2 linked regions of the Drosophila melanogaster genome follow. The protein of the gene in region 1 interacts with the protein of each later gene in a pairwise test. Each region holds a gene or a part of one and is shown on either strand. Other genes may lie near its edges.

The links.
Region 2: the proteins of CG17344 (region 1) and Dmtn interact in a two-hybrid assay, tested with the Drosophila melanogaster proteins (one large-scale study listed by BioGRID).

Annotation. Positions count from the first base shown.
Region 1 is NT_033779.5:19,099,072-19,105,063, reverse strand, and holds CG17344 (uncharacterized protein), read right to left. Parts: upstream 3,021-5,992; 5' UTR 2,960-3,020; intron 2,897-2,959; coding exon of another isoform or gene 2,714-2,896; 5' UTR 2,677-2,713; coding exon 2,212-2,676; 3' UTR 2,155-2,211; downstream 1-2,154. Other genes in the region: CG43731 (uncharacterized protein), read right to left, coding at 2,714-2,896.
Region 2 is NT_033777.3:6,401,923-6,409,532, forward strand, and holds the start of Dmtn (dementin), read right to left. Parts: upstream 3,974-7,610; 5' UTR 3,627-3,973; exon of another isoform or gene 3,562-3,626; 5' UTR 3,456-3,561; intron 1-3,455.

The DNA of each region.
Region 1 (5,992 bases):
CGCCACGGAATAAATGTATGGTCCGAGGGGACTTCCTGCAATATATATAACTGGCAAAGTTCCGGCAGAAAGTTTTCTTTGAGGATATATGCATGGTGAATGGCTCCGAAGGAGATGATTTATTGCTGCTTGAGATGGCTCAAGGATGGTCAAAGGGATTTCTTTGTGCGAGTTGCTTATGATCCAGGCCTGTCACATTTATGATTTCGTTTCATACATGTGCCGCACTCGAAAATCCCACGCCAAATCAATCGGCAATCCCCGGACTAAAAGCCAGCCCAGAAAGTTGACAACTGACTGCGGATTGGAGTCGAGTCGAGTCGCGTCGAGTCGCGTTGAGTCGCGTCGAGAGTGGAGAAGATGACATCGGACAGGGACACGCGCCGCTGATGAGAACAAAGCCGTAACCAAATCCAATGCGAAACTGTTGACAAACTCCAAATGTCTCCGGCATTGTTGCTAATGCGCTGGGAATACCCGGTCACCAGTGGAGGCGGTCGTCCACTGCACGTGTGTTCCCGGCCGAAGTTTTCGGGCATTGAAAAGAGCAGGCTCAGCCGTTTAGCCATTTTCCCGGCTTCAAGTGCGGCGGGATTTCGTTTTTAGAACACGCGTAATTACAAACAAATAAATATAGATTCCTGGGTGGAAAGGAGGGGGGGGGGGGACGGATCCGGGAAACCGCATGTGCTGGGACCTGCGGATCGCCTTGGTCGAGCCTTCGCCACGTGTCACTAATATCCACTGCATCCCTGACAAAGTGCGTGCACTTTGGAAAAATCCAGTAAGTCGGGAATGACTTATCCCGTTTTTGGTAGAGGTCCAATTTGAAGCGGAACGGAAAATCTAAGGTATTCTTAGTATAATATATTATTATAATATCAGTATGATATCTTAAACACCTTAACCAACCTGAACTTTAATCATGATTAAATCTGGGCACATTTCAAGGGAAAGGATTGGAGTTCTGGTTGACTACACACTTCATGAAACTGGAAGTTTTAGTAATGTTGAATCTTGTTTCTAACCTTCATGTTTCATTTACTGCTCTTTTGTTGCAGTGTAGTTGTGTACTTTTCTCGCAGTGTAGCTGGGCTGGGCTTAGCTGGTGTAGCATGGCAGTTCGTCGGTGTCCCAAAGGACTCGAGTGACGTGTGCCGGGCGATGTGCAAAACGAGCAGAAAAATTGAATTATGCGCTTGCGGTGCTTCTTTCGAACCCATGGAACCCCTGGAACCCCTGAAAACCCTGGAGCTGCCTCTGCCTTTAGAGCCTGCCCTACCCCGAAGCCAAAGTCCGCCCATCACCCCGCCCATCACTCGTTTCGGGCAATCGACAAATATTTTGTTATTTGCACATAAACATATTTATCGAGTTTGGGTTTGGTTTTCCTTTCGCTTGTTTCAAGTGCGTACGCGCACCAGAAAAGCGAAGAAATGGGAAAACTGCGGGGAGGGTGTGGTGGAGGGAGAGGGGGAAGGGGTGAAGGGTACGACTGTACCCACGGGTGTTTTGTTTCACCCGTTCGCCCGTCAAAAATTGTGTAAATATGTTTATCATTTCCACTTGCCCGGCGCACTTAGTGCTCGGCAAACAGACGATCCACCCCGCTGCCAGGACCTCGTTGTCCTTGTGTCCTGTGTGTGACTGGAATTCTTCCCAACGCACTTGTCGCTCAACCGCCGGCCGCGTGTCCTTCGTTAGCAGTTCTTGTGTGGCTTTCCTATTAACGTGCCTACAGCCCGAACCACCCCCTAAAACCCCCCACCACTCCAAGTCCTTCTAAGCGTATCCGTTTTCGGTTTGTTCCCCCTTCCTTCCTTCCCTCTTTCCTTCCTTCCCCGCGTTTCCGGAATGGGTTCCGGCAATTGTTGCCTTTGGCTTATGTAATTTGTCATAATGTCAACAGGCGCAGATCACGCAGTACAAGCAAACACTTCACTCGAGAACTGATTGTCCATTGAAAAGGCTGAACGAAGTTTGGCAAGCCCATCATTTGTAGTCGAAAAAGTGATTAAGTAGATGACTTTTTAAAAGAGCTCAATTCGCTTTGAAGATATTGGTATGTTTTGTGGACTGGATTTGCCGGAGGTCAATATTTTTATAACTCAAAAAAATATATTAAATGGAATAATAAATCTGTATGCTGCAAATGGGGATTGAATAATTATTTTTATTGTGGTTTATATATTTTAAATGTGTAAGAAGTGATCACATGTAGCTGTATGCAATTAGATAGATCACTGGTCCATTTGCGCCTCTGATTAAATGCATCTCGCTGGCCAGCAATTCCCGCAACTCCCCATGAACGGTCTGGATGTCCTCCTCAGTGGCTCCACTATGGATGGGCACGTAGATCTCCCAGAGGAAGTCCGCTGGCGGATACGCGTAGGGATTTTGTCTGCTGGCATACGAACTACTTTGCGAAAGGAGCTCGTAACCAGGCACCGTTCGGTAGCTACTCTCTGTGGTGTAACCTGAGATTTGGGATTCGGATTCATCCGATTCAGATGGAGATTCCGATGGTAGAGACCATGGTGTCATCGCCAAATCGCTTCTTGCGGCTAATAATCTGATTCCGTTATCCTGGGATCGCGATCTGAGCGGTTGCAGATGCCTTATTCTGCTAGATTCCATACAGATCTCCGAGTGCGTTCCCTTGACCCTGTTCTCCATCTCAATCGGATAAACTCTCTTCTACCACATGCAACTACTATTCCAGTTCGAGATCGTAAAGTTTGGAAAGATTTGATTCCACATCGGCTGGGCAATCGAAGTCTGTGTTGGTGCCATAATCCTCAGTAAAATCGGTTTGAGTATACGAACTGAATGTCTTGTATATCCTGGCCAAATCGCGGCGAAAGGCGTTATAGGCAGTCAAATTGATATCGGACATCTGTGTGAAAAGAAGTATATATACTATATAGAAAAGCTATATTGAAATAATTTATGTCCTCACCTTTTTTTTTTTTTTTGAATTTTGAATTTCGGACCGAAATTGGTGTCCTTGTTATATGTTTAAGGAACGGAATGTAAATGAATTATCGAGTTGAATTTGACAAATATGGTAGGGCTTCCTTGTTTATTATTAGAGCATATATACATATATATGAAAGCTTACTGCATAAATAGAGCTTCCGATGAAAACTAATATCCCATGCAGCTTCTCTATGAGGATCTTGTTATTTTTCCAAAAATAGAGCTGTACAGGAAAAGCAGCTCCCCTGGGTACATCAATATCTTATACCTTCTCGGTGACCCCAATACCATTGGAGTCCGCTGTCTGTGGAGCACACTTTCAGCATTTTTCATTGCGGCAAAAACAAGAATGAAGTCCCGAATGGAAGGTAAAATTGTGGGTCTATCCAAGGCCCCCCGCTCCGCACTCTCCGTCGAAAGTCTGGCAAACAAAAGCAGGCTCAGAGCCAAGTTGAGAAATCAGTTGATTCTGTTATTTTTCCCGGTTATTGTTGGCTTTTCGTTGCCGTCCACTCCGTTCCTCCATGGCGTCCACATAAATCATTTTTTCGCCATTTTTCCGTTTTCGGTTGACGGGGAGTTGGGATAGCAAATGGTAGTGAAATGGTGGAGCCTCCCTGCACATTTCCACCTTCTGCATATTTGATGACTTTCTGGGTCTGCGCTTAGCATCGACGACAGCTTTTTGACTAGCCAACTGCCGGCTGGCTGGTTGGTTGGTTGGCAGGTAAGCCAAGCGACGACCTCCCCACCATTTTCTAACCACCCACCTTCGAATTTTCCTTTTTCTCTTTCCTTTTTTTTTTTTTAGAACTTTGATGCTCCCCCTTGAAGAGCTTTCTTTTCTTTTCTTTTTTTGTGGGGGGTTGAAGGCGAATGTTCAAGTTATGTTAAGTAAATAATGGGGCGTTCATATGACGCGGCAAACAGGGGAGGCGTGGGGCGTTTTTTACTTCGGCAGGAGGGTGTACACAGTCATGTGTGTTTTTGGAGCCAACTGTTTACTTTTATATTTCTTCGCTGCTAATAAAATAAAATAGGAATTTCGCTTCGTAAAAAGAAACGGCACACAAATGGTTGGGGACGTCAGCTGAGAATAGAAAGACATCTGGGACTGGCTTTGTTAAGGCGCCATTCAGGTTGGTTTTAAGCCATATATGTGAAATCTAAGACAATTATTGTACGAAACTGGAAGTAGTATGTTTCAAGAAATTCTACCTTAAAGCCCAATTTGTGGGAGAATCATGTTGTAGCTATGAATCACATATATGTACATGTATAAAACTGAATTAGCTTTGTTAAGGAATATAAAGGTGGGATTTAAGGAATGTCTTGTATTAAATATTTTACAAAATTATGAAATTATCATTGCTTTAAAATTCAATGAGTGTGAAAATGAAATTGTATCTTAGAATGCTATACAAGTTCTTTATAGGCTTGGAAACGGTACTAATTTTTACCTGTAACTTCTTATATGAAAAGTATACAAGATTAAACATAAAATAAACTTTAAAAATAAAATAAAAGCAGTAAAATTTTTGAAATCCTAGGAAGTCCTAACATATAAATGTATTTCCCATTTTTTATAAAAGTGAATATTCCTTGTGTTAGTTGCGTTTTATTTTTATTATTGATTCATAAATACACATCTTTTTAAAATATTTTGTACGCTTAAAGATGTTAAGTGGATTTGAGGACTGGAATATAAAACTTGAAGTAATATTTATTTATTTAGTCTAACATTTATTTGGTTTCCACTTACCACGACGCACAAGTTTTGTGTATTTCGCAAAGTAAGAACTTTTTTCGCTGCTTTGAAGTAAACAAGTGGAATGTATAAAAACTTTTCGCAGCTCTCTTCATACATAGGGATGTATATTTTTCTATATATATATATCTATATATATATATGTAGGGTATACTAGATAGACCCCCCCTTGAGTGTGTTTGTGGAGTGCCTGTGGCGGGCAACAAGACAGCATTGCGTTGTTGCAATATGCCGTATGTAACTGAAGTGAACTGAATATTTTTTGTTTGTGCAGCACACTTTAGGAGCCCCATTTCCACGTTCTCCCCACCACCACCCCCCCCCCCCCTTCCGTGAAAAACAGCAGCCACTCCCCGTTTGGCAGCTGGCAAAAGCTGTCTCAGTCCTGCTCTGGCTTCTATAAAAAACAATATCCCGCAGCGAACTTTATTAAATTACACGATTTTGACAGTTAAGCAACAGCCAGCCCCTCCGAAATGTACACGCTTTCCACTTTCCACTCCCCCCCCTCCCCCCACCCTCCTGCGGAAATCATAATTTTTCTTATTTTATGTAATACGCTCGAAGCTGCCAACAACCCGGAGAATCCCGGAGTAACATCCTTGATGCCCTACCCCATCCATCGCAGAACTCTGTAGCAACGTGTTGGGGTTCAGGAGCTTTCTGGTATTCCTGAGGGGCCGGTTTAGGCAAATACGAGTCGAAAACGCTGGCAATAACAAAGTGCGCAGAGATACAAATTCCTATTTTATTTAATTGTCAAAACCTTGCAGAGAGTTTTATGACTTCATCATGTTAAATACAAAGGGCTTGGTACTCGACTTGGTTTAGAATTCTTACATTTGGTATGATTTTAAAATAATACTAGAAAATGTTCCTTTTTGTAATGACAAAATTGCCTTTCGATTAAAACAAACTATAGTTACATTAACAACAAGAAGTACACCTATAGTGCAATCTCTAAACTATCAGATACCCGCTACTCTGTCAACTTTCTAGCTTTTATACTTTTGTTTACCCTATGAATATCGTATATAGAAGTTTAGTTAAAAATTTCACTGTAATAAATAAGAATGTAACATTTAGATAGAGTATTTCGACATTTGGCTTGGCAACTCTGGATAACCTCCGGGGCGCTTTTTATTTTTAACGCAATCCAAAATCCTGGCAATACCAACCGGGTTGGTGGAACATTTTCGTGGTCTTAGCCCCTGGGGCTGTTATCAATTCAAGGCGGGCGGGAGG
Region 2 (7,610 bases), on another chromosome or scaffold:
GTTTCCTGCGAATTGTTGTCGCCTCGTCAAACAAATATTAAATTATTGATTGACAAGTCCTCAACCCCTTCCATTTTCCATCATTTTCCCACTTTTGCACCGCCATCAGCGGCAAACTGAAAAGGTGAAAGTGAAAACTGCCATTTCTATTGTCGTTACTCTCTTTTTGTTTGTGCAAAACAATTTAACAATTTATGTGTAAATTTTCACAACGGAAGTGGTTGAAACTTATGTGTAGGGGCCACCAGAGCGGCAACGGCAAAAATAACGAACAAAAGCTATAGTTTAGTTGAACTTATAAGGTCATTGTCATATTTGGTCATCTGGTCGAGCATATTTGTAGTGGATGAGTCACTGCCAAACAGATACGCTCCTTTGCTAAAACACTTTTCCCAGAAACCAGAAATGTCTAGAGACATCTCTATATATATCTATCGAAATCTTTTTAAGTGTATCTAATCGTTTCCGAGAAGATTTGCTACCTAAGTGTTAGGTATATGGCACCAAATCAGAAGAATTTGATGAATAACCTACATAGAAACTGAAGTCTAGCCAAAGGTATGGGATATAAGCGTTTAATCTAAATTAGCATGCCTGACATCATCAGCTAGCCTGGCAAAGCCATAATCCGAGGCTCACCTTGGTAACTGAACTCTAATCTGCGAAAGAAATTCCATTTTTGTGGCACTCCCTCGCCCATTTCTGCAGAGTTCCGCTGAGAACTTAGCGTTTCAATGGTCTGTGCTAAGTAAGGAAACATTGGGGAACAAATTGAACATTCCTTTATAAGTCAATTATGATTAATAAACCTAATCAGCCCGATTAGTACGGGAGTGGGAAAAAGTTCGCAGACGAATCTAATCAAGATTTGGTGACCTCAGGTAGTAAGAGTACCATGTATTTTTCAAAAACAGTACATTATTTGCTGATTAAATGTCTTCACAGGCGGAAATGCGATTGTTTTGGGTTATCTCTGGGGTGAATTTTGAATTACTGACCAGCGGCGAAGGGCTCTAGTGAAACATTTCGTTTGGGAGCGTCGCTTGTTGCCAGGACAGAAGCCATTTGCGAAGAGCCGGTTCACACATGCCTCCCTTTCCCCTCACTCCCTCTCTCTCTCTCACTCTCTCTTTGCGTCTCTCTCTTTTGGGCACACGCCCAAGACAATAAAACAGCAGATAATAAACAGAACAGAAAAACAAATCGAATCGAATCGGTTGGAATCGGTTCGGTTCGCGGGAATTTCAAGAACAAAATAAAAGCCAGCAGCACCATTTAACTCTGCTTATTTTGCGGTTGCCTTTGCCCATCAAACAAACTTAATTAAATATGCAAATAATTTGCGTGCTTTCGTGCTCTTTTTTATGCTTCGATTGTATTGCATAATGCACAAAATTCGGAGATTAATGGATTTGGGAAGTCTCAAAAACTGGGACTCGGTCGAATCCGAAAGTAATTTATCGCAAAGTTTGTTGAAAACTGTTTTCGATCTCGGCTGTGGGAATTGACGGGGAAGCGGGAAAAGAGAAAGCCCATTTATGTGGATAACAAATGGCTAAAGCCGAATTGATCAGTCATTGAGTGATTGACAGTCAAGCCGCTTCAGCATAAAGAAAAGTGGTAATTACGAAATGCGAAAGATCATGGTGGAAATTAATTACTTTACAGAAGGGGAATATTGTATTATTGTTAATTTCACTTCCCAAAAGAGCATAAGTTCAGATTAACACTTTAATTAAAAGAAAAGAAAACAATAAAATGAATACTCAGTATTAGTGTTTACATTATTTATCTGGTCCGAATACTATTACTTCCCTATATCAACAGGAATTAAATAAAAGATTTCGTTTATTTCGATTAAAATGAATGCCGTGATTTTCAGTATTTTGTATCATGCTAATCGCCTTTTTGATACCCCTCTGGCTAGATAGCAAGTACAATGCCCTAGTCTGCTCCCTCATAATCCAGCATTTTTATACTCCACCCACCGGCCACCTGCTCTTTGACGTCATCGCAGACCGAAGTCTAGGTCTTCGCACTCTTGTGGGCTTTCGGAAACTCAAAATGTATTCACATTGGTGGCGGGGTGGTATTCAAGTGTTTTGGCGCCGTTGGCAACAAAGTGAGCAAAAGCAAATACTTTTCCATGCTCGTGGCCGTTTTTGAAAATCAAATCAAATGAGCAAACAGAAATGAGAGCGGTTTAATCATTTGGACTAACGAAATATATTTATCTGAAATTTTTAATATGCATATGCGAACGATGCGATCCCACAGAATCATAAATAAAATCATCAGTTGTCACAGGCCAAAAGAGATTAGTCGAGGGAGCGGGGGGAGGAGGCTGATCTGCACACGAAATTAAATAAATAATATAAACACTGTGCCAGAAATAGCTGACAAGCAAACGAGACCAGCGACCAAGAAAGCTACACTGAACAAAAGTGGAATTTACATTATCCACATTATATCACACAATAACTTTCAGTAAGTAATTTAAGATATTCCAGCTTTATTGATTTAAAACTTTATTAAATTCCACAAGCCCTATACTTTTCGTTCTGTGTAGAGATAGCCTCGCTATAAATGCCTATTCTTTTCATTTTCCGTCCGCTTACATTTATCATGCCCGCTGAATTTAATTCAATTGCTGACAAAAACGTGTTGTTGTGGATTCAACCGTGCCTGTCTCCGAACAACAACAACAAATGCAACCAACTATGATGACAACAAACAGGAAGATGAGCCCATAGAAAGCCAACTTGCCCAAGACGATCTCACACACAAGTGTGCAGCTAAGTGAATTGATCAACGGGCGCATTGGAGGAGGGGGAAGTGTGATTGTTGCCAAGCCACAAGACGCATTCCCTGCTATTATGTACTGAATTGAAGTCGCTATTAACGTTAATTGTGTCATGCATTTGTCGATGGGGCGGGGGGAGTCGGTGGCTTTAACAAATGGTAATCAAAGTGCAATGACAGGGAAAGTCAGCGATTTTGAGGCGCGAATTCAACTGGCGAGGTGATATGACAGCAGAGGCCAAACTGGTTCTGTTTAAGTAATTACCAAAGTAAAATATTTCTTAATAACTTTATTCTTTCTCAGATGTTTGTAGCTGAAATGAACAAAGGCTCCCTACAGACATACATATGTACGTACATATATATTGGATTCACTTTTATCTGCTGACCAGCTTTTATTTAAACCCATTTCGGTTCACAACAGATATTAATGCCTTGTGGGGCGAGCCAAAAATGAGGTTCTTGAGGCCCGAAAAAGTTTGGATCAATGTTTTTTCCGCATAAAAAATAAGCAGGCAGGCCAACACACACGCACACACACGTTCGTGGGTCGCAGGTACGTGCGGGCGTGTGGTTGTGAGTGTGTTGGCCTGGTTGAGAGTACACTTAAATAAACAATTCTGAACCAAAAACAATATTCGGCACGCACTCACCTTTGCAACAACAGTTATGAAGGTGCAGCAGCCACCCGCTCTCTCGCTGACCGCTTTGCACGCTCTCTGCCTCGCGCTCTCTTCTCGCTTTTTGGCTGCTGCAGCGCTTGATTTTTATGCACACATCAATTTTCAAACTGCGACGCCCTTTTTTCCGATTTTCTCTCTCACCTATAAAACAACAACTGCCGCACTCAGCACACACACGCACACACTCTGTTAACAACAATTTGGCTCTTCACTTTTTGTGTATTAGATTTTCCTCTTTGATTTTCCTTTCGCTCTGCGCACCTCGTGAAAAATACTGTTACTCGGCTGGACAATCAGCGATACTTGTTGTAAAGCAGCGGACGTCGCTTCTTACATTTAATTGGCTGCCCTTTCGACTTGTCTGCGCTGCCAGTTGCTGCACTTTACTTTTGTTTGACTTGACGCCTCCGTCTGCTCTTCGCCTTCGTCTTCGTTCCGCTTTATCCGACACACGACCAACCGCCGCTAAAAATCAACACAAAGTAAGTGTGGTCGACGCCTTCTTGACGAAGAAAACCAGAGTCCGAAAGTGTCAGCAGCTGGTCACACCGCCAAACGGTCCCGCTGGCTTGGAACCGTGCTGCCAGACCGTTTTCATATTTTCATATTGATATTATAATATTGATATTGATAATATAAATATTTTATTCATAGCAATCAAGCTATCATCCATAGTACACATCAGCTTTATCAGTTCTTTTTTATCTTGGTTTGATATTTTCGATGCATTTTGTTTACAACCTAAACAAATTTTTATTTCCATTGATACCACGGAAATAATTTGAAATTTAGAACTTAAAAATAAAAGGAAAAATAACTTGTAAGTTGGAATAAATAAAGCACGGTCTTTAAAGCAAGAAAGTGTTAAATATATATATTTCAATTTGAGTCTATGATTAACGCTAATTTATGCTTATGGGTCCACTTTCGATCACGAGTTGTTCACACTAATGGATACAATCGCGGAATGGGCACACTGAATATTGTTTAGCGGACAGTGGACCAAAGCCAATTCGAATCAATGGAATATCCTGATATCAGGCATATGTTAAAACTAAGTAACGGAATGGTCAATGCGTAAATTGCTTTCGTATGTGTGTTTATTTTACGCCCTTACGTCGCTAATTTCTGAATTAAATAGCTCAAAAATATTCATATGTATCATGTAAAAATTTAAAAAATCTGCAAATAGATTGCATGTATCCCGTTAAAGATAGTAAGAAGTCCAGAAAAGAGAAATGCATTCAGCGATCAATTTTGCATGGACTTACCAATGTCTTCCACAATTTTATGCTTTTATTTTTTAATCGCTTTGAATTATTTCTCAAGTAACGCAATTTTGAGAAAAATCACACCATTAAATCGTGGTGAACAATCGAATATTCGATTCCATTTTAGCGTTAGGCATTTTTCCGCCACCCGTTAGGGATTCTCCGTTTCCCTTTTGTGTTTTTGTTTCTTTCTTTCGCTGGAACATAACGGACGTGTCGTTGCGTCGTCTTCCTCGTCGCGCGCGTGTGTGTGTGGTGTATGTGTGTACTGAAACATTTTGGGGTCGTAGCAAATCGGAGAAAAATTCTTAATTATACAATACAATACTCGTGCTTGTTCTCGCAGCGAATCGAAGTGATCCAATTGTGAGATTTGGCTGCAAAGGAAGAATACGAAAAGTTAGCTAAATTACGTGAGTAGCCAGAGTGTGAGTGTGTGAGCCAGAGCGAGGCGGCAAATCAGTATGGCGTGAAAGAGCTGCAAAATGTAATTTGCTGTGAATACCTCTGTGTGTTCGTGCCTGTGTTTAGTGTGCATGTGTGCTAAAACAAATGCCTAAATTGCAACAAAGAAAATTGTATGAAATATACGAAGCGAAGAGCAGAGCGAAAGCGACGATGAAAAAGAGGCTGCTGCTTGAAAAATAAGAAGAGGTGGAGGAGCAAGAAGAAGAGCAGCAGCAGCCGTCGCGAGTTTTTTACACGCGTGTGTTAGTGTGCATACAATTGTGTATGAAAAAGAATAAAAGCTAATCTAAAGTGTCAAACGTAATCTTGTATATCTCCGTGTTTCTTGCAGCGCTTGACAACGAAATTTATATTACATAGTAAATGCGAAATACAACAAAGGTTAATCATATTGCTTAATCAGAGTACTGCGGTTTCAAACGTCTTCGTCTTCCCCATCTTCTAAACTGGAATGCAACCAACACCAAACAACCAAAACCCACAACAACAACAACAAGATCGAATGGAGTAAAACAGAAACCAAGAACCTTTAAAGAGAGCAGTGAGAGAGAGGCGTCGGCTAACGGCTAATCAATTGACAAAGCGCAAAGAGAGAGGGAGAAGAAGCAGAGCGCTGAGTGCGCGAAATGTGAGTAATATATTTTAAACCGAACGCGAAATAAGAACTTAAATCAGCGAAGAACTCTTCTGAAAATGTGTAATATTAACGGCGGTGTGTTCACTGGTCCTACTGTTTGCCTCTCCGATAAGAGCGGAAGTGTAATATTATACTCAGACGTTGTGAAAAGTCAAACGTATTTATTTATCGGTTTCCCATGTGCCGGATACTCCGCAATCTGGGCCAGTTAATTATAACGTGTGGGAAGACAGTGGGCGCTCGCCCTTAGACAAGTGTCATATAAGGGCTATAAATTTAAAGTGGATATTTTATAAGCAGTCGTTTGACAACTATGTTTATTTGCTTCAAGCTCACAAGTATTAAACGCAGTGTTTAGAACAGATTTTGCAGATTTTAAACAACGTAAAAATTTTTTTGACACGGTCACAACGTAACTTTGTGTCAAATTAATAAATATAAGATCTTAGTTTGTCAGAATGTTGTAAACATTGTTGTTTTTAAATGATTAAACTGGTTAAAAATGATTTCTCATTTTGTCTACTAATATGATTAGTAACAAGGTTTTCAACTAAAATGCTCATGTACTGACTGAATTATGATGAGAAATGGGTTGCTAATGAATAAACATTGCCATTTAAATAGTCATGCGAGTTCCAACAGGGCTCACTAATTTACCAGTGATTTCTGTGATTTTGGTTACGTCCATAAAAAGTTTTAAATGCTGTCAGTGGTAGCAAACACAATCCAATTAAAGGAACATGCAAGACCCGAAAATAGGAAAAGTGCCAAAAGCTAAGTTAGAGGGGTTTTTTCTTGTTGATTACAGGCAAAAGGATCGAAAACCAAAAACCAATTATTAACAACTAGTTGAACCGGCTAAACATTTGTATTTGTATGCATGTATGTGCATACATATGCATGTAGATTTATGCCTAGAGGGGTTTGGGAAACATGCGTGCCATTTGGCTACTTCGACCATTTATCCTGACCGCAAGTTTTCTGTCAATTAAAAGTTGTTGCAACAGCATCGACTGACTTTTGTCATTCACCTATGTAACTTTTTTTTGCTAACTCAAAAAGCGACCAAATGGGATAATAAACGAAATATGCACTAGTCAAATTCCCAATAAGCTTATCTATTTTCGAAACGATTTCGTCTCTGATTTGACTTGAAAATTTCAACGTTGTCTAAAAATGTTACGAAATAATAGCAATTAAAAACAATATTAATAGTACACGCGTATTTATTCCAAATAGTGTGTATTACAAATCACTGTTACTCTGTTAAGAAGTTACATTTCTCCCTCAGCACCCCAGTTAACTTTAAGAATTGTTTAACTCTTGCATACTTGTGTTTTTACATCTTTTTCGAGTCTCTCGGTTCACTGTACTTCGATTGTTGTTTTGGTTGCCGCTGCTGCATTGAATACACACGCACACATAGTCGCAAGTAAGAAAAACAGGCATCTTTGCTTCCCACTTTATCTCCTGAGTTTGTTGTTGTTTTACTTTGTTGTTGCCATTGCACTTCGCTCTCCACTTCGCCTACTGTTTCTTCCTCGTTTTCTAGCCCGCTTCTTGCTCCTCTTCTTCTTCCTCATGGCAGCTTTTGATGCCTGAATATGTACATATGTGGGTATGTAAAGAAGAGATACCGTTGCCAGCTCATGCTTCTGTGTATTGGTAACGTTTTTTCTGTTTGGGTGCTTTTCTTGTCTTGCTGCTTCCCTCTTATCTTCCGCTTCTCTTCCTGGTTGATTCTTCTTC